Xenopus tropicalis: one gene and its partners. The protein of the gene in region 7 interacts with the protein of the main gene of each other region in a biochemical or structural test. Links are inferred from orthologs where the notes say so. Each region holds a gene or a part of one and is shown on either strand. Other genes may lie near its edges.

Region 1 (4,210 bases), on a different chromosome or scaffold from region 7:
TGTGAAGGGATAATGCCTTGGGTATTAAAATGTTAATTTTAAAGGATGTAAAATTGATAGCAAAAGTATGAATTTTGCATAAATGTAAAGAAATTGATGAAAATAAGAGTATAGTGTAAGATTCTGACTATATAAATAAATATGTAATAATAATATATTAATCACCCCTCTTACTAGGGTTACGCTTCTTTTGAGAAGCAGACAAATAATCCACACCAATAAGTGTATATAAAATGAATTTATTGAATAACAAATCAATTGACTGTTAAAATTAAGTGATTATTTAAAACAAAACAATATATTTACATTAGTTACAGATTAATAATGAAGTCTACCTTATTATAGCTACCCACAAACACAGAACATGATGGTCTGGTTCCTTTTCTCTAGCCAGTTGATCATGGCTTCCCTCTGGTCTGCAGCCCTCACATTCTGCCCTGATCACTTCAGATGCTGTGTGTAGATGCTCTCCCCAGTTGCTTCTCTTTGACTACTGTCCAGTCCACATTACTCAGTGTATAACACATAAATATTTATAAAGCCACAAACACATATGTATAGAAGAGGCATTCCAAATATAGAGGAGAGCACCATAAAGCAGAATTCTGCTAAAATGCTATTTATTTCAGACCAAAAAACACAACATGTTTCGGGCAGTGTGACGCCCTTTATCAAGTGTGTCACACTGCCCGAAACATGTTGTGTTTTTTTGTCTGAAATAAATAGCATTTTAGCAGAATTCTGCTTTATGGTGCTCTCCTCTATATTTGGATTGTATTGAATGGCTCAGCGGTGTGCCTTGCGAGGATTGATGCATCAAGCCTGATCTAAGGGCTGTGCGGTTGAATACCTATTTGTTGATGTATAGAAGAGGCATGTTGAAATGGCCACATTTTCATTTTTTCTGCTTATGCCCTAAATTTCTTTTATTTTTCATTCATTTAAAATCTTTTATTGCAGTTTGATGAAAATATTGGCATTTTTTTGGGTCGTTATGACTTGGATCAAGACTTGGGGGAGTTTCTGACAGAACGCAAAGCATTGGTTCTGCCAGAGCCAGAGCCAGATTCTGACAGCAATCCAGAACGCAAAGAAAATGAAAGGGGTAAGCAGTAGGGAGGGATAGTGGTGAACAAGAACACCATTTATTTTCTCAAAAAGATGATGTTTATAACAATAAATATCCACTAAGTAAATCAGTTTTCAGTGGAAATAAAAAACTGAGGAAACTTTTTAGATTTTGTAACATAAAATGGGTTTTTATTTCTTTTGTATTGAACCTTTAAACTAAAATCCAAACAATCTCTGACTGGTTAACTCATTGTAGGCGAAGGACTATGGGAAGCTCCTCTTTCCTTTTTGGCCACTCTGGCCAGCAGCAGCAGTGAAGAAATTGAATCTCAGCTACAAGAACGTGTAGAATCTTCACGACGTGCAGTCTCTCGTATTGTTTTGGTGTATGACCGACTGCATGACCAACTGGACCATCTTGCCAAGAAACTGAATAGCACTGGTGGGAAGCAGTCTTTCAATTTTATGATTTTTGTTCCATTTTATTCTTTTTGAGTTTTATTTTTCTTGGGCTTTAATTTTGTTATTACCACACTGAAGAACTTTTACATCTCTATTCCTGTATCTTCCGACTCTCTCTATAGATCCATCTCACGTGGAAGAGGCTGTCAGGGATTTAAACTCCTTGCTCTCAAATGAGAATGCACGATTGCAGGAGATTTGTAACTTGCTACAAGAGAAACAGCAGAATATGTCCCAAGAGGTCAGTGGGTTTTTTTGTAACCGGTTAATGAAAATAATGTTAAATATATAAGTTTTTGTTTATACAATGTTAAATATAGACATTTTTTGTAATTTTGAGAAAACATGTCATACATTTTAATAATATGTTTTGCACATAAGTAGATAACTAACTGGAGAGTCTATTAGGTTTGATGTTTCTGTAGACTTAAGGTATGGAGACCTAAATTACAGAAAGGTATGGTTTTCACAAGTCCTGGGAGTGCGATTCTGTTTCTACATACATATATATACATATATATATATATATATATATATATATATATATATATATATATATATATCTTTCAAGAAGCCGGCACTCACGTTTAAAGGTCACTGGATGCCCGGGTGCAGTATTATAAATTCCAGATGTATACCAAGCAAAAGATACCGCACTCACAGGACTTACTTGAGAAAAAGGTGATTTAATATTCACAACATAGCACGGACGTTTCGGCTGTCTCTTTGAAAAAGGCTGTGGAGACAGCCGAAACGTCAGTGCTATGTTGTGAATATTAAATCACCTTTTTCTCAAGTAAGTCCTGTGAGTGCGGTATCTTTTGCTTGGTATATATATATCAAAATGTCAACATTTCATTCTTCTTGTGAGCCCCAAGACACACAAACAGAATTTACCCCTCCACCCAAACTTAAATACCCTAGTGTAGAGAAATCGTGCCAGAATAGCATGTGTGAAATAATCAGAGTGAATGCAGTCTGTATCCAACATTTAGAAGTGAACAACATTGTATACTCAATTTTTTGAGGAGTGCCACATCCTCCCCCATTATTGTAACTTGGTCAGGGAACCTAAGTCTGTCAGACCCTCTCAGAACTACTTCCACCCGGAGCACACTCATAAAAACTAAGGTGTGTTGTCATGGAAGCGCACGTATGTTAAGCCGGCATTCACATAGCAGTGCAGGAAGGATTGTTGAAGTGTGTTGTCATAGAGAATATTTCACAATCCTTACAAATTGTAAATAATGTTCAAAAGTTGATGTGGTGTTCAAATCTGTAAGCCCTGGAGCCCAATGCATAGTAACAACATCGAACTGTTACAGATGGCACTCAAAATTCAGCAATTGCGCTAAATAACTTTTTTGTTTATCGAGATCTCTGCACACAACATTTCGGGGGATGCCCCTCCTTCCTCAGAAATGCATACCTGCTTTTGTGATTAGCACTACCCTCTGCAACAGTAGCAGTACAAAGCTGCAAGTACTTAAGCAGTAAGAAAGCGGGGGCATAGCAAGTAGCAACCAAATGGGTCTATTGGTTGGCACGGTCAGGTTCACCGGACCCGGCACTAGTACTACCCAGTTATATGATTGGCACAAACAGATCATTAGATTCTGACACAATTAGATGTCATGTAACATCAGGAGAACATATCTGGGGTAAATCTGTTGCAGCCACTAAAGGTAGATGGTAGTAGTGAGTTCATGTGCATCTGAGCAGCTATATGTGGACAATGACATTATTATGGTCCCCTGTCTGGACTTAAGTAATCATATAGCTGAGAGCACAATATTGACACAATTATATTGCCAGAGAGTCAAGTTTATATGTCCATTTGCGTTCTTTCTGAAGTTGAAAGACAAAAAGGGCTAGAAAAGGAAGGCAGACAACCAATTGCAAAGTTAGTAGAATAGGACAGTCTATAACATACCAAAAGTTAACTCCAAGGTAAACCATCCCTTTAAAAAACTCAGTAGGGGGTGCTGTCTGGTCAGAATTTAAGGCTTTCCCGCAGATATTAATCCAAGATTGTGAGGAATCACAATATATAAACTTTTAAATTCTAGTTTAGTTGAAAACGCGAGATAATGCAGAGTCTCGTATTTTTCTGTGTAAATGGGCTACATGTGCCTACACCCGAGCGTGTATCATTCATTCGGGTGCAGGCACATGTAGGAGGCATAGGGCTGAATTTTCAGAAAGCCCTTTTTCGCTTGCCGAAAATAATCCGCCCTACACCTTGTCTGGCATTAGCCTAAAGTCTCATCTGCAGAAAACCTTTTCTTTACGTTCATTCTTCCCATTAATGAGATTATTGTGACAGAATGGAAGAAGACAGGCTGTGACGGTGGGGAAGTTCATTTAGAAAAAATATAGCCCTGTGATCAGCAAGATTCAAGGTTTTGGATTCTTTTCTGAAAGTAGATGCAACTATGGCCAGACTAGCTAGAAGAAAACTACCCTTCCGGTAGATGATGCAGATGTATTCAGGAAACCCATGGAGAGAAAAATTAACTTTATGGAAAGCATTTCTACTGTAAACAGACAGTGATGCTAACATTTCTGTCTAGAGCACTTAAAAGTCTGGTTGATTGATCTGAGTGAAGCAATCATGTCTAATGTAAAAAGACCAAAACTGTTGGAAACTGTCTGAAATGCTGTCAGATTACAAAAT
Region 2 (4,210 bases), on a different chromosome or scaffold from region 7:
GGATAGAGTTTGAGCAGAACCTGGCAGCCAATGAGCAAGCAGGTAAGAGCAAAGCGTGTCATGTAGCGGAACATGATGGTAACCACAGGACACAGCACATGGCCCCAATGTTTGCTCACATTCGGTATCCTTGCCTTTATCAGGTCCTATTAATAGGGAGATGCGGCATCTCATTGGAAGCCTCCAAAACCACAACCACCAACTGAAGGGAGATGTGCAAAGATACAAGCGCAAGGTGCGAGATTCCCAGGCAGAGGTGAGCAAGGTGAGAGGGGCTTCCCCAGAGTGACCTATTGCAGCTGGCATGAATGGAAACTGCCCGGGGCCTAGAACCTGTTCCGCTGTTTGATACTGGAATGGGCACGTGCTGAAAAAATGGCTATAAAGCAACAGTTTTATTTCAAGGGTTTGTCTAGGGAACCAAGATCAGCTTGAGAGCTGAACATTCCACAGATATAAGTTTGCGTTTTCAGATCATGGGAAAGTGAGTCCCTGACTGTATTATTACAGCAACCTTTCTTCTTTTATACTTTGTAACTGATGATTTGCCCCTCTTATGGTTCCCGCTTTATCGCCCCTTGCTTTCCCAGCTGCGTTTTCAAATCGGCGGACCACCCTGTCCTCAGCCTGGATCTTCAGGATCGGAACCAACGACCCCCGTTACTGTCAAAGAGGAAGAAGTAGAAGTGAAGAAAGAACCCCTTGCAGTCGTGCCACGAGAGCCTGAGACTCCCACTACCCCTGAAGTAAAAAAGGAGGAGGAAGAGCAAAAGAAAGAGGCAGCAGAGCGGACCAAAGCCCGGGAGAGGGAGGCGGAACGGGAGCGAGACAAAGATCGGGAAAGAGACAAGGAAAAGGAAAGGGAGCGTGAGAAAGACAAGCAGAAAACAGATGAGAGCAAAAGGAAAGACTGCGACATTCTGAAACAGCTCCGGGCAGAGCTCAAGTAAGAGAACTTTTCCTTCCCAGTTATTGCACATTGCCGATTCCCCCCGCCAACTGCTGCCTGCTTTCCATTCAGTCCTTCCCATTGGATTATTCACATAATCAGTTGTCTGCTTCCCTGCTTCTGTTTATAAACTGTTGCAATCCAACCAGCCAAATTTATCAACCCTTTACATTTAACACACTGCCTCCCACCCCATTCACATGACTGTTCATGTTCCTTTTCAGGAAGGCCCAGGAGAGCCAGAAAGAGATGAAGCTGCTGCTCGATATGTACAAATCTGCCCCCAAAGAGCAGAGAGACAAGGTGCAGCTGATGGCAGCGGAGAGAAAGACCAAGGCCGAGGTGCGTCTCTCTGACCTACAAATACATGCGTGGCTGATGGTTGCACTGTTGGTTATCTACGTGTTTCTGATTGGTGCAGGTTCTTGCATTCTGATTGTGTACATGTATTATAGAAGGGATTATATCATGCACTCTGTGCCTGTTTCTGCCTTTCTATTGCAGATGGAGGAGCAGCGCACGCGGGTGCAAGCTCTTGAGGAGAAAGACAAGAGGGAGAGGAAGAAACTTGCAGATGAAGAAGCACTGAGGAAAATTAAGATGGCTGAGGAACAAATAGACCATTTACAGAGGAAACTGACTGCCACCAAACAGGTAAGAGACAAAGGGGCTGTTTAGGAAATACAGACAACTTAGCAGACTCAGGAACACTGGGGGTAAAAGGCTGCTCCCACTAGGAGTAAAGACACATAGTAATTGTGTCACAATTTAACTCTGCTTTGCTATTTTAATGTGTTTCATACAGCAAGGAAGTGTAAGGATAAGCACAAGGGATACTTCCAGGCAGCCACGGACAACAGGGCCAAGACCTAAGTCTGCCCACCTTGGGGCTCATTTATCAGTACTGGGTAAATTTGCCTATGGACTTTAACCCATAGGGACATTTATGTGAATGACTTTTTTTTTAGCCAGCTACAGAAAAAACAATAAATACAACAGTTTGGTTGCCATGGGTTACTGCCCACAGGCAGATTTGCCTATCGTTGATGAATGAGCCCCTTTGTGTTAGTCCCACAGTGCTGGATTCCTGCTCCTAAGCGCCAAAGGGCTCTTGATGCTGTCTAAACAGAGCAATTAACTCCACCCTGGCCCTGTTCCCTATGTCATTTGGCCTATGGAATTCCTGGTAGAAATAAATATTAACCCTGCCTATTTCATTTCTAAACGCAGGAGGAGGAGGCCTTACTGTCAGAGATGGACGTGACGGGCCAGGCGTTTGAGGACATGCAAGAACAGAATATTCGTCTGATGCAGCAGCTCCGTGAGAAGGACGACGCCAACTTCAAACTGATGTCCGAGAGGATCAAATCCAACCAGATACACAAACTCCTGAGGGAAGAGAAGGAGGAGCTGGCTGAGCAAGTGCAAGGGCTGAAAGCCCAGGTAGGTACTTGCTACATGCAAAATGGGTCAAGAAAGGAACCAATACTTTCTGTATTTGGGTTTTGCTGTCAGTGGGGGTCTGTGGTACTTTTCCCATTTCTTTGTTCTCTATGGGTCATTTAAAGTGGGTTAATGGATCTTTGGCCACTAGAGGGAGCCTTTTGCCATACTGTTCACTTTACATCGCTACTGCTTGGTGCCAAAAGGTGTGTGTTATTATTATTATGTAACACTGTTGCTGTGTGTGTCTCAGGTGGATGCTCAGCTGTTACAGGTACAGAAACTGGAGGAGAGAGAGCGCCTCTTACACACGTCTTTGACTTCCATTGAGAAGGAAGTCACTCTTAGAACACAGTCACTGGAACTGAACAAGAGGAAGGTAAGCGACCTGAATTATAATTTATAATTATGCTCATTGCTGATGCTTCTGATTCCTCTGCTAAACAAGAGCTCATCGTATTGCGCCATTATAACTATATACATTTATGTTGCTTTCTAGGCAGTCGAGGCAGCCCAGCTCGCCGAAGACCTGAAAGTGCAAATGGAGCATGTAGGGGAAACGCTTAGGGATACCCAGAACTTTGTATGTGAGAACCGAAGCGCTAAAGAAAAGGAGTCCTTTAGTCTCAAAAGAGCTCAGGTAAGAAGCTTGACCCACAGAGAGTGCCTTATTATCCGGCCCATTGGGTGTGTTTCACTTATTCAGGGGTTTGTGCCTTTACAGGAGGATGTATCTCGGCTGCGAAGGAAACTGGAAAAGCAGAAGAAGATGGAGGTTTATGCAGATGCTGACCAAATCCTACAGGAAGAGATTAAAGAGTACAGGGTAAGTAAGGGGCAGTGGGTCGGGCAGGGCACTTAAGACTATTTATTAGTTGCTTTGAGAACATCAAGTTGGAATAAAATCCGCAAAGAGCGAATGGCCCTGGGTTTGTAATGGCTCCGGGTCAGCTCTACAGACAGGAAGAGGCTATAGCAATAATGTGGTGGTTAGAAAGAAATGCTTTGCAATGTGTTCTGGGTACTGACACTTTCTCCTTCTCTCCCTTCCTCTGTACTTCCCACCCCTTCGGCACTTCCAGGCCCGACTCACTTGCCCTTGCTGTAACACTCGGAAAAAGGACGCCGTCCTCACCAAGTGCTTTCACGTCTTCTGCTTCGAGTGCGTGAAGACCCGATACGAGTCCCGGCAGCGCAAGTGCCCCAAGTGCAACGCAGCCTTCGGAGCCCACGACTTTCACCGGATTTACATCAATTAAGGGGCGACGCGGTAGGCTCTGCGATTAACATTGGCACAAGGTGCATCCGTTTGGACCGTAATGTGATGGAAGTCCGTGATTGGTTACCCAAACAAACTGATGCCCCAGTATCTGGCAATCCCACCAATGGCTGGGATGTACTCCTCAGTCACCCTCATTTTAAGGGGTTGGACAAGGATCCCCATGAATGGGGAGAGGGGGAGAAGTGGGCAAGTAATGTCTGTTCAGAGTGGACAATAAAGAGACCCGTAGGACCAAGCTGTTTGGCGGAACCTTCAGTGTTGTGAATTTGTGCGACTGGATCGGTGCGACTGGATCTAAGAGATTGCACTTTTTTTTTTTTATATCACACAGTAGCGCCCAGCCGCTGGGGCATGTGGAACACAACTGCTCGGTGCCGTGCTTTTCTTGTTTACAGCCTTGAATGACAGAAGAAGCCCTATGTTCCCAACCAGGCAGCCCGTTCCTATAATATAAGCCTCCGACGTCATGCCTGCGGAACTATTTTATTTAAAGGGGAAGTTCACCTTTCTAGTATGATGTAGACTGCCATTGTCTA
Region 3 (4,995 bases), about 96 Mb from region 7:
AAGAAGTTCAGGTACCGCAAAGCAAATGTAAGCTGTACTGGCTCATTCATTTCTATTGTAACCTGGTAAACAAGAAAAAAAAAAAAAAAAAAAAACAATGGTCACTTCAAGTCTAACAAAGTTTTAAAGCTATGACTTGCTGTGGTCTTGTCTACTATTACTTGGGGTTGAAGGAAAGTGTACAACGTGGGAATTAACCAAGGGTCACACTGGGGGAACCTTGTCACATCTATATACAGTGGCACTATTACATTTCAAAATGACACTATAGGTTTTGAAACACTTACAGCTTCCTCCTCTTTATCCACATTTGAAGTTTGTGACAGCTTTACGTTTCCAGTGCCCAGCTCTCCACTTGCAGAGAACTTTACCCCATCCTTTGCACAAGAAATAACAACTGCGTCACCAATCTGGCTTAGATCTCTGCAGATGCGTGCAAATTCACCAGATGGCATCTTTATTACACAGCTGTACTCTTGTTCCTGTCATGAGAAACCAGACAATTTAGCAGAGTGCAATCCAAAATTAACTGCATTAGACAGGGTTACTTTAGACTGGCATAAGAGGTCACATAACTGCCATGGGTACAGAGGAAGGGGAGTTTCTACAAGCAGCATGTATATTACCCCCTTAGAACTTTGTGAAACCCCAAGACTGGAACTATAAAAACCAAAACAACTGAAGTGTACAAACTGAGTGTACACTGCTTTGGGTTTAAATTTTGCAATAACTAATAGACAATCAAAAAGTGTCCAGTTACGTTTTGAACAGTGATCCTAGCGAATCTGTTTTGTAAGCAGACAAAAATCAGCAACAACTTAAACATTAAAAAAATATACTTACAGGAATGCCCAGCTGCTCCACATCAAGGTCCATTAGCTTCATTTCATAGTCAGAAACTTTCTCTTGATCTAAATTAAAAACATTTAAGTTAAACTTAAGCAGAACAAAAACGTTGGGCAGAAATGCTTCACTGTTTGAGGTTCTGTACCAGCCCAAGGCAAACACGGCCCTTTAGCAGGGAAGATATGTGCCCTCAAATAGCTTCCACATCTTTTCTGCTGATTCACTGCCCATGCTCTGTGCTTAGGGACCGACAATATACTGTACATATATGGAATATAAACGTCACAAGATAAGGCTGAATAGTATTTCAGATTCTTATCACTGGCACCTTAAAAACCAGTGCAATTAGCATTAGAATTTAATAATGCCCTGTAATAGCTATGACAGAAACCTAGTTTTTTTTTTTTTTTAATGATTTACAACAACCCCTAAACTTCACTTCTAAACTGCACAAATATACAGTATATGCACACTAATTTAAAACATAAGCCTAATTTAATTTAATTTATTATCAGTAGTGACCAGTGCCTTCTGGATCAGAATTTAACATGGTTTGATGTCAGAAGGAAATTTTACAAGGCCACAAAAAGAGCCAAGATGGCTACCTGCTTTGTACAACTTTGAAGGCTGGTACAGTATAATCAGTAATTCAAGCATTTCTTGTTTCTATTTTAGCACAAATTAATCAAGATACTATAGTTATAAAAATCCATTAAAAAGTTCCATTACCTATAACTGTTTTAGCCCTGCCTTCCAAGCCAATGAAATAAGCACCAAGCTACTATAATAAAGAATTTACTTATTGGCATGAAGGGTATGAAAACCAAAGTGTAATGTTGCAAATACTCACTTGGCGACTCAAACACCATTGTAACTGTATCAGCATTGTCTTCTGCCCTCAGAGTAATGATATCTTCACTTGCAGCACACTTCAAGATCTTAGACATACTGTGAAAAAAAGTAAAGATAGATATATAGTTATATATAATGCCAAACAGGAGACTGGCAAAGGTAGACATCTTGGTAAGCAACCTGGGCATTTTACTCCAATGTATGTATGTATAACTTTATTTATAAAGCACCACAAGGGTACGCAGCTTACACACAGGGAGGACAAGATATATATATATATATATAGGAAGGAGGTCCCTGCCCCGTAGAGCTTACAATCCGAGTAAACCAGGGGCCCTGTCTAAGCAAGGCGGCACAAAAAAATCCCCATTGAAGGAGCTTTCCAACACTCCAGATGCATACAGCAGCGTATTCCTTTTACCTTTTTATATAGATTGTAAGCTATATGGGGCAGGGACCTCCATTCTCTTGTCTCTTTGACTCTTAACTTATTGCAGCTGTATCTTGTATTTATTGTTATACTTTGTATGTATCTATTATCTTAACCCCATTTGTATTAATGTATTTTACTGTACAGCGCTGAGTACATAAGTAGCGCTTTATAAAGATATACATAGAACCCATGAGGGCCCATTAAAGAAAAGACACTGAGCAGCTGTGGGCCTCAGTGAAGTGTAGGGGAAGTGTTAGACAAAGTGAGGCAACACTAAGGAAAATAATTTTATTTCGGTTCATTGATAAAATTCTTATTTTCCAACTATCCTGTGGCATTTGGATTAGAGTGGCCGCACTGCTGAAGCTTGGCACAATGAGCCGGTTTCCCGCCAAGCCGGCGGCTTTGTTGAAGTTGGCGCGTATGTGACGTCACGCGGGAAGCCAGGTTGCGCGCGCAATCACTGAGACTTGAACGGACAAGTCCATGACAGAGGCGGGGGGGGGGGGAGTAGATCGGCCAAGTCCATGACAGAGGGGGGGGGGAATATGTATGTATGGAATACATATTTGCGCCAAATACAATAAAATGAGAGCGTGTATCGCGCTACGTGTACCCAATAGTAAAGTCTGGACGCATTAAGCCTGCCGCACTAGCCCGTCCCTTCAACTAGTGATCTCCGCAGTGCTGCGCACTTACTAAGCGCCCACATAGCTTCCTTACCTGCTCATCTTGACGCCGATGGATTGATTGCGATCGCACCTGTAGGTGTCAAAGCCGTCCGATCGCAGAGTGAGCTGCACCAACGAGACGTGCGAGGAGTCCATGCTCTGCAAGCTGATGCCGCTCGATGTGATGTCCCAGCACGCCTCATCGATCAGGTCCTTCAGGGCCTCCAGCACTTTCTTCAGGATGGAACCCTGCACCAAGCGAGCTTCAAACATGGTGACGGCTGTACGGAGCTGGGGGAAAGAGAGAAGTGTGCCGGGGGTGCAGATGGCGGAGCTCAGTAGCTGAATTCCCTAGTACCTCTGTGGTACCTCCTCCCAACTGAAGCTCCGGCGCCAAAATGAGCCCGCCAGCCGGCCTTCCGCCGCTTATATTATAGTGGTGATGTCACTATACGAATGTAAGGCGCCAAAATTATGACCCGCCCCCTCATATCTTTCCTTGTGCAGTCAGTCCCTGTCACTGAAACACCATGGTCTCCGTTATATAAGCTTTGCTTGTGCCCCATTATGAACTCTACACCTAATAAATATGAAAAATAAATATAAATAACTGTAATTTGTTGGATTAGCTATACTAGTTCTGGTCAGTGACAACAGACCCAAAGGACATTTAGTTACTGGGGCCCTGAAAATGCAGAAAGGATGGGGTCATTAATTTTTTTATATATTAAACCGCAGACATATTAGTTCTATGTTTTACATTTTTTACTATCATGCCCCATTACACCTCCAATCACTCTCTACCACCTTTACTCCCTACCCCAGGGCTGCCACCTGAGCCCAAAATTTTACTGCCCTGGCCTGTAAAAATAATGCTTGATGCCAATGTAATTAATGGTGGAGATATAAATATAGGAATGCATGCTGCGAAGGCCAGAATACTTGCAAAATTATAGGGCCCATTCATTAAACCACAATCTTTTTGTTTTTGAGAAAAAATCTTATTCTTTCTAATTTGTAGAACTTTTCACAATGTCCACAATAATTTTGTTAAAATTCCATGACTTTTTCATGGTTTTCGTTAACTTCTACCAAAAAGTTGGAAAGACTACAACCATTTCGGAATTCAATTTGGTAAACTATCTTACTATCTTTTGGCCAGGTTGGATCTGTGCCATTGAGTCCTATGGAAGACTATGAAAGCCAGAAAGGTTTTCACACTGTTTACGAACGTTCAGATCCGAAAATTCGGAACGCAACCACGATATTTTCGTACGAGAAAAGAATTTTTGTGGTTACTCCGAATTTTTTCCAATCATGATTTTAACCACCCAAAAATCATGGTTTAATGAATTAGCCCCTAAGTGTTCCAGCCTTGTTTGTAGGCCAAAAAACAAAAGCTCTACTGCCCCAGAACAGCCAGTGTTGAAGCTCAAATGGACTCAGGGTTAAGTAAAATCCCCTGAGGCTCTGTGAGTACTACCATCCACAAGATCAAAAAATTGCACCATCTGCAAGATCAAGGCACAGCCAATATATTGTGACTGTCACCAGAACGAATATAGGTCTTGTATTAAATCAGACACAGACTTTTTGGAGCAATTTGTTTGGATTCGTAACATATTCTTTGTAAATTACATTTTGAGGCTTCACTCATCCTTATGCAGCATCCTACAGACTGCTGTTGATCATTGCTGTTGTAAACCCATTCTAACTAATCTGGTTAAGGGAAAGTCTTATGGTGGCCATACACATTACAATTATAATCTTTCCTGCAACCATTGGTCATACCCTCCTCTATCATTCAGAGCTGAATTGTCAGATATGTAGTTAGAAATAAAATAATTCTACCCCTATCTGATGATTCAGAGCTTAATAATTGCCTTTTCTCAGGCACCTTCAAACGTGCCAGATCAAAATTTTCTATCCCGCTTGATTGATGAGATGGCCGATATTCAAGGCCTTTGGCAATATCAGTCACCTCGTCTCCTTCAATACAAACACCGAATATCATGAGAAACAAAGTTTCATATGATAATATTGGTATGTGTATGGCCACCTTTAGTTAAAAGGAGAGGCAGGCCAAGTTGGTATTGATTACACTGTTGAAGCAGGACTGAACACGGATATGATAACTATAAGATCAGGTGCTGGGTGAGTGCTCCAAGAGGTAGTCTTTAAGTTTAGTTTTAA
Region 4 (4,210 bases), on a different chromosome or scaffold from region 7:
CTAAATAAGTGTATTATTATAAAAATTATTTATTACAATGAAGCAGGGATTGTGTGCAATATATTTTTTTAGAGAAAGGGAAAAGATATTTATTCATTGTATACAGAAGATTACTGTATTTATTTGCATTTATGTACATGTATTTGCTTAGGAGCTGCTAATATTTCTTGCCTTAGTAAATGTAAAAGATACATGGCCAGTGACACTGCTGTCACAGGGTGCTGGTCAGTTGTCTGTTGTACTTGCCTTTATGAAGCTTGGAGTCCTTTAAAATTAACAAGCTGACATAACAAGTGTGATTAAAACTGCTAGGCTTTGGCTCTTGCTCTAGGCACACTTGACAGAAGATCTGTCGGAAGTCACCTGAAAAGAAATGATTCATTTTTGAACCTCAAATGACAATGTATATAAAGGTACATACATATACACTAGACTAGAAGGAACAGCAATGTTTACAATATTTATATAACATTTAATACACTATATATACAGTACAGGATTCTCGGCCTAATCCACCCAGTTGGGTAAGGGCCTAAGCGCGGGCAACAAAATTTCCCCATCCGTCACTACCCTTTATATTTCTTTAGTTTTAGAAGATAGAAACAACTAAAGTTAAATATTTTACTCACTATTATGCTTCACTTGCATGTGAACATTGCAAATTTGTTTGTACAACGATAAATACAGAAAATATTGGATATTTTATATTATATAAAAAGAATATTGTACTGACCAAAAATGAAGTTAGTTAACAGCAAATGTATTTTCAGTAGTGATGCTCAGACTAAAATTTAAAAATGAAACCAGTAGAAGGCACAATGTTAGAGAAAATGCCACATCCTCTGGACATATAGTTACATAAACAGATTTTCAGCCATAACAGGATTTCAATTTTAACAATTAGGGGAAGAACTTTCCAACTACACTCCTTCCTGGTAGAGTAGCTATCACTGACAGAAAGCAGCTTTGTTTTTAATGGCATCTAAAATAAGTTGCTCAGTGCACTCGATCTTGAGTGAAGATACCACACATGGGGAAAGACATTTTTCACAACAAGAACATTAAGAGATACTTACTAGAGTAGGCCAGGAGTTTGTTAAGCCAGATTGCTAAACACAGTGCAAAGCTTTGATGGGCCATTACATGACCATGCAGCACCTCCACGTGGACAGGTTTCAGCGACACGTTCTCTGAATTAGCCTACCAGAAAAAACAGGGGTAGGGGGATAATGATAAATCTAATGATGTTTTAATCATTTGTTCAGTATTTTTCACCTCAGAGAGCCCTGAAAATATTCAGGAAAATGCTACTGATTTGAAAAGGCCCATGTCTCTTTACATGACTATTACTAAGCTAACCAAAATGCCACTGAAGTATCACACACAGAAATAAGCATTATATTGAACAATACCAAAATTGCAACTGAACAACAAAAACCACTTTACTTTTTATGACAAAAAATGAGTGTGTAAAATATGTTAGTGTACACATGTCAAATTTTTGGGTGTCTGCTGTTGTTCTGCTGGGACTCCAGGGGCAAACATTTCCCTACCTGGCTGTTTGCCTAAGGTGGGGGGGGGGGTTGTTTACAAAAACACTAGACATGTTTTAAAGTTTAGTGTTACTTATGCTGCCATAAATGTGCAGATTAAACCTCTTGACCTACCCTCTCCAGACACAGTTGGCAGCTTAAGGGCCTGTGTACTGGGCCCTCAGGGGAAGTAAGAATCACCAATGAAGCATTACAGAAGCCCTTTCTGCCTGCTGTCAAACACCACTTCCCTGTTAATGGTACTCAGAGCAGCTCTAAGACTGACGGCACACTAGATTAGGGCTATGTCACATGTGGTATTTTTTGTCTGCTATCTCTGTTCGTCCCTTTCATTGGCTACATGGGGAATCAGAGGGAATAGTTCATGGGCCACAATTATCACAACAATACAGACTTACCTTTAGACTTTCTGTCACCTCCTGGCATTGCTCTAAAGTACCCTTTTTAACAGCTTTGCGGCCCTATAGGGGAAAGAGCATTAAAAAAGGACAGTTTCATTCAAAGTAATAAGCTATTCTCTAATAGCCCACTAGACTTTTACACAGGCATGGAATCCAAATGAAGACAGAAAATAAATGTTAGGTGGCTATCCTACAATAGTGTTTAAACATCTTTAAACATTAACTTTAATCCTTTCAAATGAGCCACAGTGCCCATATATATACACACTTATACAGACTTATCTATATACTCGCATATATAAACTATACAGTAATTTAAATTATCCACTAATTTAAATGGGTGACGATCATTTCTGTAGGAAAAACATCCGCCACTATCTGTCTACAATGTTTTGTAATGTATTTCTAAATATTAATCATGTCCCTGGGTGGAAACTCCCTGATTCCATGACCAAGCAGTTGTTCCATGTGAACCCTGTTTGGGTACCCAAGTAAATTAGAGGCTCTCCATCCCCCACCTCCTCAAGGTACAGGTTAAATTTTTTTCCTGACCTGATTGATGCTCTACTGCAGTGACATTACTTTTGATTTCACAGATTCGGGTCCTGTTAAAATTTAACACCTTACAAGTAGGGTCAGGCAGTGGGCAGTGAGGATGGAGCATAGTAGGTCAGTGGGTTTGGGTCAGGTTTTGGGTCCGAAGATGGGTCTGTCCAACTGGACCCATGCAGTCATTACCAATTCCTATGTTCTATAGTTCTAAGGCAATAAACCTGGCTTAACTATTACAATGTAAAAGTTATTATTCCCTTTGGTATAACTGACCTCTCTCTCAGCTGCACTGGTTAATGTCTGTGCTTCTTTCTGATCACAACCAAGCGATCTCTGCAAACTGTAGATGAAGTGATCATAGGTGTGGTGTTCATCATTGTAAAGTACACAGTAGTACTGGTTCCACTCCACTGTCCTGCAAGGACAGGATGCTGTTTTATTAACGGTCACAACATTAACAGCACAAAGTTATCGAAAACACCAGTGACAATACCAAAAACATTAGCAGTAATCCAAAGAAATTACATTTATTAGCATACACCCTAATTGAAATTACAGTTGAGATGTTTTCATTTTAAGGCTAAAGCCAGACAGGGCTTATTTTCAGCCTGCATATAAGCGCAGGCTGAGGATCAGCTGATCAACAGGCATCTGCTTGGTTGTGTGTCTGCACCTGGAGCCACTACATCAGGCTGGTTGCAACACACAAAGCTGGTTTTGGCACTGAAATGTGTTTCGGCGCCAAAATCTGCTCCATGTCTCTGCACTTGGGCAAATAAAGTGGCTCTAGATGCTCTACTGAAAACATTACTTGAGATCCTTTTGTCTAGTGCTAATTTAAAGACAAACAAATTCAAGTTTAACTGTAAATATGAGGTATAAGGTCGATGACACTTGAGGAGATTAGTCGGCCCATGATTAATCCCCTCTAATTGTGGCGACTAATCTTGTTGAATGCCTTCCTACTGGTGAGAATGTAAAAGCATATGGGTCGGTTTTCTGAAGTTGCCTTGTAAGGAAACTTTGGAAAGCTGAATTGACAAACATGTTTTTTTTTACCAACAATTTACATCCTCACCAGTAGAAAAGCATTCAAGTTGGTTAGTTGCCAACACCAGAGGAGATTTATGGCACGGCCACAAATCTCCTCATGTGTCATTGGCCTAAAGAGACATACCCTGTATCCAGATATGCTGGCAAACTCTTTTGTTCTTCCCAGATTAACATGTCTACTATATACCGGATAATCAAAGGGAATACTATTTTGGTTTGGGCCAGAAGTTCATCCTTCAAACGAAAGTCTGAATTCTGCAGGGAAAAGAAAGAAAACGTGTTATTTAAAGGGAAAATATCATTAAAAATTGAATGTATTTTTCACTAAATCTTTTTTAAATTACTTTATATTCTATTCTATAGTTTCTATTTGCTAAACATATCCAGTTTCCATACAGCTCCATATTTTTAAACTGGAGTTATTTTTCAAAATCGTCCCAGTACCATAGCCCTTTTATAACAGAACATGTTCTCTGAAACTCACTGAACACCACTTCAGAATTTTAAACCCTTAACAGAATTAAGCAGACTGACAAGAAGGATGAAAGGAATCACCACCATAATCCATACAAATTTTATAAGGTGTACTTTTATAAATGCTGGAAATATTAATAGTAATGTAACAATAATTAAAGGAGCAAGTATGGGGGC
Region 5 (4,210 bases), on a different chromosome or scaffold from region 7:
AGGCCCCTACACCTTCAGTATATGTGACACCAGCCGCTTCTCCGACTACGTCCGCGGGGGCATCGTCGCTCAGGTCAAGATGCCCAAGAAGATCAGCTTTGTGAGTAACTGCCAGTTGTGCTGCTTCATGTCGTGCCAGTCTGTGCTGTGCACCCCTATAACCGGGCATTGCTTGCCCCCCAGAAACCCCTGCGGGAATCGCTGCAGGAGCCAGACTTCCTGGTCACGGATTTCGCCAAGTTCGATCACCCCGCGCAGTTGCACCTCGGCTTCCAGGGGCTTCATGAGTTCCGCAAGAAACACGGGCACCTCCCTAAGGCCCACAATGAGGTGAGGTGGGTTTATATCTGCCCCGGCGCCAGGTATACCCAGAAACAGCTGTGTGCCTGGCAGTGTGTGCCACCCCGTGCCCGCTCTCACCACTCTCTCCCCCCTGCAGGCTGATGCCCAGGAGGTGCTGGCACTCACACAGACCCTTAATGAGGGTGCCCCTGGCGCTGTGAAGCAGGAGGAGGTGAAGGAAAGCCTCATCAAGCAGCTGGCATACCAGGCCCGGGGCAACCTTGCGCCCATCAATGCCTTTATTGGGGGTCTGGCTGCCCAGGAAGCAATGAAGGTAAATCTTCCCTATTGTGTATGTGAGGGGTAAGGGGGGGGGGACGGGTGTGGCCCCTCTGACTCTCCTTCCCGCGCAGGCCTGCTCTGGCAAGTTCATGCCCATCATGCAGTGGTTGTACTTCGATGCCCTGGAGTGCCTGCCTGAGGAGAATGCCGATGCCACCCTAACGGAGGAGAACTGCAGCCCAGTAAGTCTGACTTGGTACAGTTAAGCCCCTCCTCCCGCCTTACCTGCCCCTTACCCTCTCACCTTTGTGCTTTTCTCTCTGCAGAAGAACAGCCGCTACGATGGGCAGATTGCGGTGTTTGGCTCCACCTTCCAGGAGCAGCTGGGCAAGCAGAAATATTTCCTGGTATGTCCGGTGGTGGGCAAGGCAGGGGGCAGTGCCCGGGGGGGGTGGGTATAGCTGCCAGTGTACTGATATGCACATATATGGCCTTCTCTGCAGGTTGGTGCCGGCGCCATTGGCTGTGAGCTGCTAAAGAACTTTGCTATGATTGGCTTGGCAGCAGGAGAAGGCGGGGAAATCACTGTGACGGACATGGACACTATAGAGAAATCCAACCTGAATCGCCAGTTCCTGTTTAGGCCTTGGGATGTCACGGTGAGCGGGGGCTGTCTCTCCTGTGTGCCGGGGCACTGACGCCGGGCGCTGACTGTCTCTGACTGTCTCTCTGCCCTCATTGCAGAAAATGAAATCGGAGACGGCGGCAGCAGCCGTGAAGCAGATGAATCCCAACCTGCGTGTTACTGCGCACCAGAACCGCGTGGGCACCGAGACCGAGAAGGTGTATGACGACGACTTCTTCGAAGCTCTGGATGGTGTGGCCAATGCGCTAGATAATATTGATGCCAGTGAGTAGGGCCTGAGGCCCAATAGCGCCACCCGGGGGGGGGGGGTGTAATGGGGTACTGTTCTGTGGGAGGGGTTCTTGGGGGAGGGAGGCGGGGATAGAGATGGGGGTACTTGGGGGTGGGAGATAGGGATGGGGGTACTTGGGGGTGGGAGATAGGGATGGGGGTACTTGGGGGAGGGAGGCAGGGATGGGGGTACTTGGGGGAGGGAGGCAGGGATGGGGGTACTTGGGGGAGGGAGGCAGGCAGGGATGGGGGTACTTGGGGGAGGGAGGCAGGGATGGAGATGGGTGTACTTGGGGGAGGGAGATAGGGATGGGGGTACTTGGGGGAGGGAGGCAGGGATGGGGGTACTTGGGGGAGGGAGGCAGGGATGGGGGTACTTGGGGAGGGAGGCAGGGATGGGGGTACTTGGGGGAGGGAGGCAGGGATGGGGGTACTTGGGGGAGGGAGGCAGGGATGGAGATGGGGGTACTTGGGGGAGGGAGGCAGGGATGGAGATGGGGGTACTTGGGGGAGGGAGGCAGGGATGGGGGTACTTGGGGGAGGGAGGCAGGGATGGGGGTACTTGGGGGGAGGGAGGCAGGGATGGGGGTGTGGAGTACTGGGGGGAGGGAGGCAGGGATGGGGGTGTGGGGTACTGGGGGGGGAGGGAGGTAGTCGGGGATATTTGATGTAAGTGCACATGAAGGAAACCAACTTCCTGACAGTTGTAGTTGGAAGTTGTTGGTATGGGGGGGGGGGGTCCTCTGTTTTGGGGTTGCCTTCCTGGCCAGTCACCCAGCTCTGTACCCCCAGGGATGTATATGGACCGGCGCTGTGTGTATTACCGGAAGCCTCTCCTGGAGTCGGGCACACTGGGCACAAAGGGGAACGTTCAGGTGGTCATCCCCTTCCTGACCGAGTCCTACAGCTCCAGCCAGGACCCCCCTGAGAAATCCATCCCCATCTGTACCCTGAAAAACTTCCCCAATGCCATCGAGCACACGTTGCAGGTGAGGGGGGGGGGGGGGCAGGGTGCCAGGGTGCTGCCCCATGGGTGAGGCCATTGTGCCCTGATGGGGGGGGCAGGGTGCCAGGGTGCGCCCCATGGGCGAGGCCATTGTGCCCTGATGTGGGGGGGGGGCAGGGTGCTGCCCCATGGGTGAGGCCATTGTGCCCTGATGGGGGTGCCAGGGTGCTGCCCCATGGGTGAAGCCATTGTGCCCTGATGGGGGGGCAGGGTGCTGCCCCATGGGTGAGGCCATTGTGCCCTGATGGGGGAGGCAGGGTGCCAGGGTGCTGCCCCATGGGCGAGGCCATTGTGCCCTGATGGGGGGGGCAGGGTGCTGCCCCATGGGTGAGGCCATTGTGCCCTGATGGGGGGCTGGGAGCCATAACTAACTTGCCCCATTTCTGTGCTTGCAGTGGGCCCGGGATGAGTTTGAGGGGCTCTTCAAACAACCGGCTGAAAACGTCAACCAGTATTTAACGTGAGTAACGTGGGGGGGGGAATGGGCAGCTGATATTGCCCCACGGGCCCCCTGGGGTCTGAGCTCTTCCTCTGCTGTCTCTCTCCCCCCACCTCTCACTGACTTGTCTGTCTCTCTCCCCCCTCCTCTCGCTGTCTCTCTTCTCCCCCCGCCTCTGGCTGTCTCTCCTCTCCCCCCGCCTCTGGCTGTCTCTCCTCTCCCCCCGCCTCTGGCTGTCTCTCCTCTCCCCCCGCCTCTGGCTGTCTCTCCTCTCCCCCCGCCTCTGGCTGTCTCTCCTCTCCCCCCGCCTCTGGCTGTCTCTCCTCTCCCCCCGCCTCTGGCTGTCTCTCCTCTCCCCCCGCCTCTGGCTGTCTCTCCTCTCCCCCCGCCTCTGGCTGTCTCTCCTCTCCCCCCGCCTCTGGCTGTCTCTCCTCTCCCCCCGCCTCTGGCTGTCTCTCACGCCGCCTGTCTCCGTTCGCCCTCAGAGACCCCAAGTTCATGGAGCGCACGCTGAAGCTGCCGGGGTCGCAGCCGCTGGAGGTGGTGGAGGCGGTGTATAAGAGCCTGGTGACGGAGCGGCCCAAGAGCTGGGCAGACTGTGTGACGTGGGCCTGTAAGCACTGGCACATTCAGTACTCCAACAATATCCGACAGTTACTGCACAACTTCCCTCCCGATCAGGTGAGCTGCCCGGGGGGGGCAAAGGGAATTCTGGGAGGGGCCCGGCCTGCAAAGCCTCCCTGCTCCAGTCTGGGTAGAAGAGCTGGCCGGGGAGGGGGTCTGTTTCCTCTATAGTTACACCACCGACCCTGACCATAGAGTGCAACCCCCTCGCCCATCATCTTACCTACCTGCCCCCTCCCCCCTCATCTTTCTACATAATCTTGTGTTTTCCACCAGCTGACCTCTGCGGGGGTTCCCTTCTGGTCCGGTCCCAAGAGATGTCCCCACCCACTGACATTTAGCGGAAGCACTGTGAGTATGCAGCCATGGCGATCCCACCCTTTGAAGCCCTTCCTACTTAGCCGCACCCTTTCTGCCCAAGCCCCTCCCACTGACGGCTCTGTTTGCCCCCAGGGGCTGCACGTGGATTACATCATGGCGGCCGCTAACTTGTTCGCGTTGTCGTACGGAATCGGCGGCTCCAAAGACCGAGGCGCCGTGGTGGAAATCCTCCGAGGTGTAAAGGTGCCCGAATTCACCCCCAAATCTGGGGTCAAGATCCACGTGTCGGACCAGGAGATCCAAAATGCCCACGCCTCTCTGGGTACGTTGGCCTCTCCCT
Region 6 (3,144 bases), on a different chromosome or scaffold from region 7:
TAACACTGCTAGAATATTTTGCAGTATATTTAAACTAAACGCACTACTGGCTTGGCTAGCCCAAAATGTTACAAATTTAAATGGAAACCATGATTGTTTCTTTGCTTACAGGTACCAGTTCCTGACTTAGGTTAAACTAAATCTTCCCCAATCTATGGAGGAGCTCATGTCAGGGGCAGTATCTCCCAAGCGAGCGGATCTTCTCCCGATATCCCCACCTACAGGCGGGCGATATTGGGTGATTTCAGGCTAATTCCGACCGAATTAGAACTGCAGTATATAGTCTGTTCAGGGGCCATATGAACGAGCTGATGTCGCCAATCTGACTAAATTTGTTAACCTGTCGATCAGTATCTGCCCGATTCCAGGACAGATGTCAGTCGGGCAGGCCCATCATTTGTGTCCATACACGGGCCGATAAGCTGCCGAATCGGTCCAAGGGACAGATATCGGCAGCTAGAATCTACCTGTGTATGGCCACCTTTAGACGGCACAGGGCTAGATGTTGTTCACACCTTTCATATAAATAAGCTCGGTAAAGTTCAGACTATTGGCCGTATGCTCCATGGCAAATAAACCATACTAATAACTTCTTTGTGCACTAACCTGTATCAATTGGTAAAACATTTAAAATTTTTCTTTGTAGTTGCTGTACTCTCCTATTGAAAACATCCAAAGAGTGGCAGCAGGTGTACTTTGTGAACTGGCACAAGACAAAGAGGCTGCTGAAGCTATTGAAGCTGAAGGTGCAACTGCTCCTCTTACTGAACTGCTTCACTCTAGAAATGAAGGAGTTGGTAAGTTTTTGTAGTATGCTGTACCTTTAAGAACCCTAGCCCTTTTTTTTTTTTTTTAAAGTGTTTGTTTTTGCATTTTTCAACTTAACATAAGTACAAAAAGGACAATAAACCCTAGCTTTTATTAACGTGAAGTCTACCTTTTTTTTTTTTTTTTCAGTAAACTGACTTATGCAAAACACATTTGCCTATTCAAGGAAAAGTAACACTAAAAATTCAAGTTATTGCCCTATCCTGCAAACCACTTATTATTTTGAATGCTTTATTAGAAAATACGTGCTAAAACTGGGCTTCCAGTCATTTGAAGTAAGGCAATATGGCGAAGGAAGGAGCAGCGTCCACTTTGCGACAATCGATTGAGCCTAGCCTTCCTTCTGTATAGGAAGGAGTCGGGCTTGGCTCGATAGATTGTCGCAAAGTGGATGCTGATCCTTCCTTCGCTTTATCGCCTTACTTCAAATGACCTAAAGCTGTTTAATCGGGTATTTTCTAATAAAGAATTCAAAATACTAAGTGGTTTGCATGATAGGGCAATTATTGGGGCAGGGTAGAATAGAATTTTTTTACTTAAAAAATGTTAGCGTTACTTTTCCTTTAATACAAATGTACTTTGCACTAAAATTGCAGAATAAGTGACTACAGTCACTGCCAAATATTTAGTAACTACTAGTCCACAGATAAGCCCACTCTCAAACACAATGAAGAATGTAAAATGTGTCTTAAGAATTTAGAAAAAGTACACATTGTACAGAAGTGCCAAATTTGATATTGTGTAACCTTGAGACCCCAGATTGTTGTGCTTAAAATCCCAGCATCTTCCAACATTGAATCAAAGTTCAAGGTATGCATATTGGGCTCAAGCTTAAACATTTTGTAAGACTTGTCCCTCACTAGAGAGGATTATACAACTAATCATCGGATTCTGCCTTCTCAAAAGCTTGAGGGGTCTGGTGTTGTAGAGCCTATAAATATTAACAATCTTTCCTTTGCTTTCTAGCAACTTATGCAGCTGCTGTTCTGTTCCGTATGTCTGAGGACAAACCCCAGGACTACAAGAAGCGTCTCTCAGTGGAGTTAACAAGCTCACTCTTCAGAACAGAGCCAATGCCATGGAATGAGGTCAGAACCAACTACTTAGCACTTATAAACATTAATGTTTCATACATTTAAATCTTCTACTCTAATGTCACAGAAGGCTCCCATGAAAAGTGGCTTCAGTTTAGATGTCCCATGTCCTGATTTCTGCATGATTTTAGCTCTTACTCTAGGGCCAACAGTTGCAATGCCACTTTCAAAATGTCACTAAAGCTGCATTTAATTGCAGTTACTTGCAGGTGTATTTGCTCTGTTGCAAATTGCTGCATTTTCATGTACACAAATTGTATAAGAATACAAAATTATCTAGAGTATCGGTAGTGTGTATACATATATTTTTGTGTAATAATAAAGTAAATACTTTTTCAGGCTGCAGACCTTGGTCTTGATATCGGTGCCCAAGGTGAACCTCTTGGCTACAGACAGGATGGTAAGTTGTGTTTTGGTGAAAAAAAGGCCCATTTATAACTAGAGCCTAAATTGTAGACCTGAAGTAAATGGCTGCCAAAGTCTTTGTAGTTTTAATGAAATGTTAAAGGGAACAATTTTTTTCAGACAGCTGCTTTAATACATTAACATGTTACATATACACAAACTATTCAATATACCGTTTTCAATAGTCATGCCAGCACTTTATAACTGTGTACCTGGGTAAAGCAAGTATATCTTGGTTAACACATTGACAGGCTTTGGATGTGACCTAACTGCTTTTTAATTCTGATCTAGATCCAAGCTACAGATCTTTCCATGCCCCTGGCTATGGCCAGGATGCAATGGGTATGGACTCAATGATGGATCATGACATGGCAGGTCATCACCCAGGTGCAGACTATCCAGTTGATGGACTTCCTGATTTGAGTCATGCCCAAGATCTTATGGATGGCCTGCCTCCAGGTGATAGCAACCAACTGGCCTGGTTTGACACTGACTTGTAAATATCTACTTTTTGGTAAGTCTTCATGTAAGCAGATCTCTTTACTTTAATGTTACTCCTGTTTTATGCATATTTTTAATATAAAAGTTAAATCTTAACCCCCACAAATTGTCTGTATGTATATCTTTATAAAGTGCTACTTATGTACACAGTGCTGTACAGTAGAATACATTAATACAAACGGGGTTATTAAGGTAATAGATAGATACAAGATACAGTTGCAATAAGAGTCAGTACAGTTGCATAAGATGGAGGTCCCTGCCCCATAGAGCTTACAATCTAGATGGGAGGATAACTTACCAACGCAAATAGGGAAAC
Region 7 (4,654 bases):
GTTCTAGGATGCTTTTTCACCTTTCTCAGAATCATTGACACCCCACGAGGCGAGATCTTGCATGGAGCCCCAGAGTGAGGTCGATTTATGGTCATTTTGTGCTCCTTCCATTTTCGAACAATCGCACCAACAGTTGTCACCTTCTCTCCCAGCTTCTTGCTAATGGTTTTGTAGCCCATTCCAGCCTTGTGCAGGTCTACAATTTTGTCTCTGACATCCTTGGACAGCTCTTTGGTCTTTCCCATGTTGGAGAGTTTGGAGTCTGCTTGATTGATTGATTCTGTGGACAGGTGTCTTTTATACAAGTGACTAGTTAAGACAGGTGTCCTTAATGAGGTTGACTAATTGAGTAGAAGTGTCTAACCACTCTGTGGGAGCCAGAACTCTTAATGGTTGGTAGGGGTTCAAAAACTTATTTCACTCAATGAAAATTCAAATGCAAATCAGTTGCTATCTTTTATTTAAAGTTATTTTTTCGATTTTCCTTTTGATGTGCTATCTGCCACTGTTAAAATAAACCTACCATTGAAATGATACTCTTCTGAGACTTTTCATTTCTTTGTCATTGGACAAACTTACAAAATCAGTGAGGGGTCAAATAATTATTTCCTCCTCTGTATATCAAGATCTAAGACAGTCCCTGCAAATTGTGATCAGTTGCTATTTCTGCAATAATCACCTATTGCAACTGATGAGATTACCAAGTGTTCAAATATGCAGATGGTTTGGCAGAACCCATTCTTTAAAAAGAACTACTATCTCTGAAATTTACATTATGGTCACTTTCCAGTTTTAACAGCCTGGGGTATTACCACAATCATTTCAGAAGACAAATATTTATTAAACTGATAATAAATGTGACTTATTATGGTGCATGTTATTCATACAACCCAGGCACATGTGCCATATCTTTCTCTGACTATATTTCTGCAATACAATTTCCAAGCAGTTTTCAGTTGCAGACTATATAAAACAGGAATGTTTAAACAGTGTGCCTACTGGTGGTGCTGAACCATACTTGTAGCATCTCCAGTAAGAGACTTTATTCGCTATAAAGAATACTCTACAGAACCATCAACTTTCACCGAAGCTACCCTCCCAGGAAAGCCGAGCTCAAACACCACGTGATATGATGCAACGCTTCTCCTCAGGAACTTTGAGTTGTCACTTATGGAAGCGACCATTCGTACGGATGACAGGGGTGATCGTCAGCAATAAATCACACTGCCCCACGTCCAAGAAAACGGCATGCCGCGTCACAATAAAAAACAAATGTTCCTATTAAACTCCGCAGTGAATCTCGGGGCAACATTTTGCAAAAATGGCAGCTTAGCACGGAATCTCCCTCTCCGGTGTAGTTGGTACGGTCCTATGAAACGTTCTGGTCCAGCCCCATGTTGGGAGCACTGAGCAACGTCATTGCGGCTTGTTTGTGCCAGGGTTGCTGAGTTAGCGGCGGCCGGGTTTGGGCTCCCTCCCTTCCCCCTCCGTACTGCTTCTATTCAGGGGCAATGTCCACCCCGGCCAGGAGGAGGCTGATGAGGGACTTCAAGAGGTGAGTAGGGCTGTTACAGGCTCCTTCCCTCATCGGCTTCACTGCGAGTTCCGTTCGACTCCGCCACCAAGTCACACGACTAGTGTATAAGGCAGGGGCAGGCAACCTTCGGCGCTTCTGCTCTTGTGGGACTACACCTCTCGCCTTCTGCCCGCTTGGCATGCTGGAAGTTGTAGTTTTGCAGCATATGGGGGGTTACCTGAGGCCTCCTGGGCGTTCAGTGGATCAGTACCCGTAAAGGGAAGATGTTAGGGACACTGAAAATCACAAAACCCCACTTCTTGCTGGCTATAAGCACTAGGCCAGTTCATCTCCTTAAATATCTATAGAGAACAGTATGGAAGATCTCTTTGCAGCATAGAGCAGTTGGCCAATGAGTTATAGTAGACCCCACAATTATATTTCACTTTTGCTAGGTTTTATTTTTTATCTGTAAAGTTTATTTTTGTATTTTTTATGGCTGTTATAGTGGGCAGTGTGTGCTAGTGCAGCCGGCCCCTCTATCCCCATGCTGCCATGTGCTTATCTGTATTGTTTTGTAAGATATATCCTCACCCACATCCAAAAATACATACAGGGATGGGACCTGTTAATCGCAAAGCTCAGGAGCTGGAGTTTTCAGAATAAGGGATCTTTCCGTAGTTTAGATCTCCATATCCTAAGTCTACTAGAAAATCATTTAACCATTAAATAAACCCAATAGCATTATTTTGCCTCCAATAAGGATTAATTATACCTTAGGCTCAAGTACAAGGTACTGTTTGGCCACCTTTTACACCCTCAGCCAAAGATATGAACTGCCAGCAATGTGGTTGAAAGGTTTTCTGGCAGTTAGTGAAATGCTGGTCATCATTAGCTTTAGCCTTATCTGCCCCATTTCTGCTGCTGGTACAGTCCTGCAGTTGCCTTCCAGCTCTTTAAAAGGCTTTACACATAAACACATTTTCCCAGAATTCCAATTTTGCTTTATCTTGCATGCTTGGCCGCACATAAAAATCTATTTGGTCTGCATTGTGAATACTGAATCAGCTTTTTTGACCAATACATTTACATTGGATTATTGATCAACACTGTATGTATATTTATATAGAACTACTTAATGTACAGAGTGCTGTTCAATACTGGGCAAATTTGCACCTGGGCAAATTTGCACCTGGGCAGAAACCTATAGCAACCAGCCAGTGATTTGTTTTTATTCACCAGGTTGAAAAAAAAAAAGAGAGAAAATGTTGATTAGTTGCTGTTGGTTACTGCACATGTACAGAATTGCCTGGTGTTTATAAATGGGCCCCACTGATCAGTTATTTATTTTTTGCATTATGTTTTTTTATGTTTTTAATTACTTAATTGGATTTTTAGTCCTGCATTGTTGTCCACAGCTTTGTTTTTGGCAGTTGTGCAATGTGATTAGTAGATAAGGTATTCTGAACATTGACTACACTTCACAATCACTTGTTTTATTGGTTTTGGTGATTTGATGACATATTGATGTCTGCTAGAAATACAAAAGCAAAAAGTATCCAGTCCATCCATTTATTGTAACGTACATTATTGCACAGATAAATATAATCTTTAGCTGGGCAAACATCTTTGTATTGTTAACATTGTTTTTTTTAGGTCAGTTTATTGCATCATAAAGCAAGAATGTCAGGGAACCTCATTCCACTTGGGTCCTTAACGCTCAGCACTTAATCTTGAGTATCACTTTGTGCTTTGTATTTATTCGTTTTTATTTTTGGATTAACTCCTATTAGTGTATTGTTCTCCTGTTAGTGATGCATACACAAGTAGCACCTTATTAATAAAATATACAGACAGCATCCATACCGGTTTTGTAGCAGCCACACAGTGAAGCTCTTAAAGTCTTATGTCATTTCAGAACTCGGCTTCTGTTTTGGCTTCCCTTCAATTTTGTTTAAGCGGAAGGGTTTTTTTTTTCTATTTGTATTCCTCCTACTATAGGTTTTGGTGATTAAAAATGCCCTGGTGAGAACTGTCCCAGATGTGACACCCACCCAGTTGACTTCTTCCATATAACATGTGTTTGCCCCCTCATCCAGCAAATCTGCTCAAATGTAATACAATAAATGCAAAACAAACCTGGAATTCCGATTCTTACCTAGAGCCACAACTTTACTACTGAAGCAGATAGAAGAAATGGCGCTAGAAGTTAGGCGCTATATATATATATATATATATATATATATATATATAAAGCAAGACAGTGAGCTGCACACACCAGGACTTGGCAAAAAAAATGATAAGTTTATTTAAGCAAAGAAAGGATTTCTTTGCTTAAATTAACTTATCATTTTTTTGCCAAGACAGGTATCGGACCCCTTATCCGGAAACCCGTTATCCAGAAAGCTCCAAATTACGGAAAGCCCGTCTCCCATAGACTCCATTTTAATCAAATAATTCAGAATTTTAAAACTAATTTCCTTTTTCTCTGTAATAATAAAACAGTACCTTGTAATTTATCCCCACTAAGATATAATCAATCCTTATTAGATGCAAAACAATCCTATTGGGTTTAATTAATGTTTTATTGATTTTTTAGCAGACTTAAGGTATGGAGATCCAAATTACGGAAAGACCCCTTATCCGGAATACCCTTGGTCCCGAGCATTCTGGATAACAGGTCCTATACCTGTGTGTGTGTGTGTGTATATATACCCACTTGATAAGAAAACTTGATTTTTCAGAATGTCTATTGTTGTAAATGGCATAGTGTGCACCAAAATGAGACTCATAGCATTGCATACAATGTAACTCGAGTTTTTGCTGAATAATGTTTCTTGTACCTCTAAATGGCACATAACTATAGGATGATAGTATCTCTATAAAATTGTTTTTATGCAAATAAAAGGAATATGGATAAGAATACATTTATGTTCTGCGTGTGGGGTTTGTCCCTCATGTAAGCATACCACAGATCTGCTGTCTCTCCCTGCCAACAAGCTTTTCAGTTCTCTGGAGTAACAGGATTTTGTTTATTTTTGTTAATGTAATGGTAATTTATTGGGTGTGTGTTGTTCACCCAACTTCAGTATTAAATTTGATGCAGATATATACTAAATAAGATGGTAACCTTTTTCC

The links.
Region 1: the proteins of ube2b (region 7) and rnf20 form a complex in vitro, tested with the Homo sapiens proteins (4 studies listed by BioGRID, with this or other methods). The link is inferred for Xenopus tropicalis from reciprocal best matches to the Homo sapiens genes UBE2B and RNF20.
Region 2: the proteins of ube2b (region 7) and rnf40 form a complex in vitro, tested with the Homo sapiens proteins (3 studies listed by BioGRID). The link is inferred for Xenopus tropicalis from reciprocal best matches to the Homo sapiens genes UBE2B and RNF40.
Region 3: of the proteins of ube2b (region 7) and pcna, one has a biochemical effect on the other in vitro, tested with the Homo sapiens proteins (2 studies listed by BioGRID). The link is inferred for Xenopus tropicalis from reciprocal best matches to the Homo sapiens genes UBE2B and PCNA.
Region 4: the proteins of ube2b (region 7) and ubr1 form a complex in vitro, tested with the Homo sapiens proteins (2 studies listed by BioGRID and IntAct, with this or other methods). The link is inferred for Xenopus tropicalis from reciprocal best matches to the Homo sapiens genes UBE2B and UBR1.
Region 5: of the proteins of ube2b (region 7) and uba1, one has a biochemical effect on the other in vitro, tested with the Homo sapiens proteins (10 studies listed by BioGRID, with this or other methods). The link is inferred for Xenopus tropicalis from reciprocal best matches to the Homo sapiens genes UBE2B and UBA1.
Region 6: of the proteins of ube2b (region 7) and ctnnb1, one has a biochemical effect on the other in vitro, tested with the Homo sapiens proteins (2 studies listed by BioGRID, with this or other methods). The link is inferred for Xenopus tropicalis from reciprocal best matches to the Homo sapiens genes UBE2B and CTNNB1.

The regions. Positions count from the first base shown.
Region 1 is NC_030683.2:57,238,012-57,242,221, forward strand, and holds part of rnf20 (E3 ubiquitin-protein ligase BRE1A), read left to right. Parts: intron 1-960; coding exon 961-1,105; intron 1,106-1,327; coding exon 1,328-1,513; intron 1,514-1,655; coding exon 1,656-1,774; intron 1,775-4,210. UniProt on the Homo sapiens protein: Component of the RNF20/40 E3 ubiquitin-protein ligase complex that mediates monoubiquitination of 'Lys-120' of histone H2B (H2BK120ub1).
Region 2 is NC_030685.2:13,689,209-13,693,418, reverse strand, and holds part of rnf40 (E3 ubiquitin-protein ligase BRE1B), read left to right. Parts: coding exon 1-42; intron 43-143; coding exon 144-265; intron 266-590; coding exon 591-946; intron 947-1,173; coding exon 1,174-1,291; intron 1,292-1,453; coding exon 1,454-1,603; intron 1,604-2,179; coding exon 2,180-2,392; intron 2,393-2,645; coding exon 2,646-2,771; intron 2,772-2,891; coding exon 2,892-3,032; intron 3,033-3,116; coding exon 3,117-3,218; intron 3,219-3,474; coding exon 3,475-3,651; 3' UTR 3,652-4,210.
Region 3 is NC_030679.2:123,021,604-123,026,598, reverse strand, and holds the start of pcna (proliferating cell nuclear antigen), read right to left. Parts: upstream 3,193-4,995; 5' UTR 3,076-3,192; coding exon 2,855-3,075; intron 1,795-2,854; coding exon 1,697-1,794; intron 912-1,696; coding exon 844-911; intron 483-843; coding exon 288-482; intron 63-287; coding exon 1-62. UniProt on the Homo sapiens protein: Auxiliary protein of DNA polymerase delta and epsilon, is involved in the control of eukaryotic DNA replication by increasing the polymerase's processibility during elongation of the leading strand.
Region 4 is NC_030684.2:105,763,768-105,767,977, reverse strand, and holds part of ubr1 (E3 ubiquitin-protein ligase UBR1), read right to left. Parts: intron 3,815-4,210; coding exon 3,684-3,814; intron 2,922-3,683; coding exon 2,780-2,921; intron 2,015-2,779; coding exon 1,952-2,014; intron 1,201-1,951; coding exon 1,077-1,200; intron 364-1,076; coding exon 247-363; intron 1-246. UniProt on the Homo sapiens protein: E3 ubiquitin-protein ligase which is a component of the N-end rule pathway. Recognizes and binds proteins bearing specific N-terminal residues that are destabilizing according to the N-end rule, leading to their ubiquitination and subsequent degradation.
Region 5 is NC_030684.2:533,121-537,330, forward strand, and holds part of uba1 (ubiquitin-like modifier-activating enzyme 1), read left to right. Parts: intron 1-2; coding exon 3-100; intron 101-183; coding exon 184-330; intron 331-439; coding exon 440-616; intron 617-695; coding exon 696-806; intron 807-890; coding exon 891-971; intron 972-1,067; coding exon 1,068-1,223; intron 1,224-1,308; coding exon 1,309-1,474; intron 1,475-2,272; coding exon 2,273-2,469; intron 2,470-2,881; coding exon 2,882-2,946; intron 2,947-3,410; coding exon 3,411-3,606; intron 3,607-3,825; coding exon 3,826-3,900; intron 3,901-4,002; coding exon 4,003-4,192; intron 4,193-4,210. UniProt on the Homo sapiens protein: Catalyzes the first step in ubiquitin conjugation to mark cellular proteins for degradation through the ubiquitin-proteasome system.
Region 6 is NC_030682.2:53,374,486-53,377,629, forward strand, and holds part of ctnnb1 (catenin beta-1), read left to right. Parts: intron 1-646; coding exon 647-797; intron 798-1,794; coding exon 1,795-1,916; intron 1,917-2,261; coding exon 2,262-2,322; intron 2,323-2,618; coding exon 2,619-2,827; 3' UTR 2,828-2,841; intron 2,842-3,144. UniProt on the Homo sapiens protein: Key downstream component of the canonical Wnt signaling pathway.
Region 7 is NC_030679.2:26,523,021-26,527,674, reverse strand, and holds the start of ube2b (ubiquitin-conjugating enzyme E2 B), read left to right. Parts: upstream 1-1,408; 5' UTR 1,409-1,511; coding exon 1,512-1,555; intron 1,556-4,654. UniProt on the Homo sapiens protein: E2 ubiquitin-conjugating enzyme that accepts ubiquitin from the ubiquitin-activating enzyme E1 and transfers it to a E3 ubiquitin-protein ligase. In vitro catalyzes 'Lys-11'-, as well as 'Lys-48'- and 'Lys-63'-linked polyubiquitination.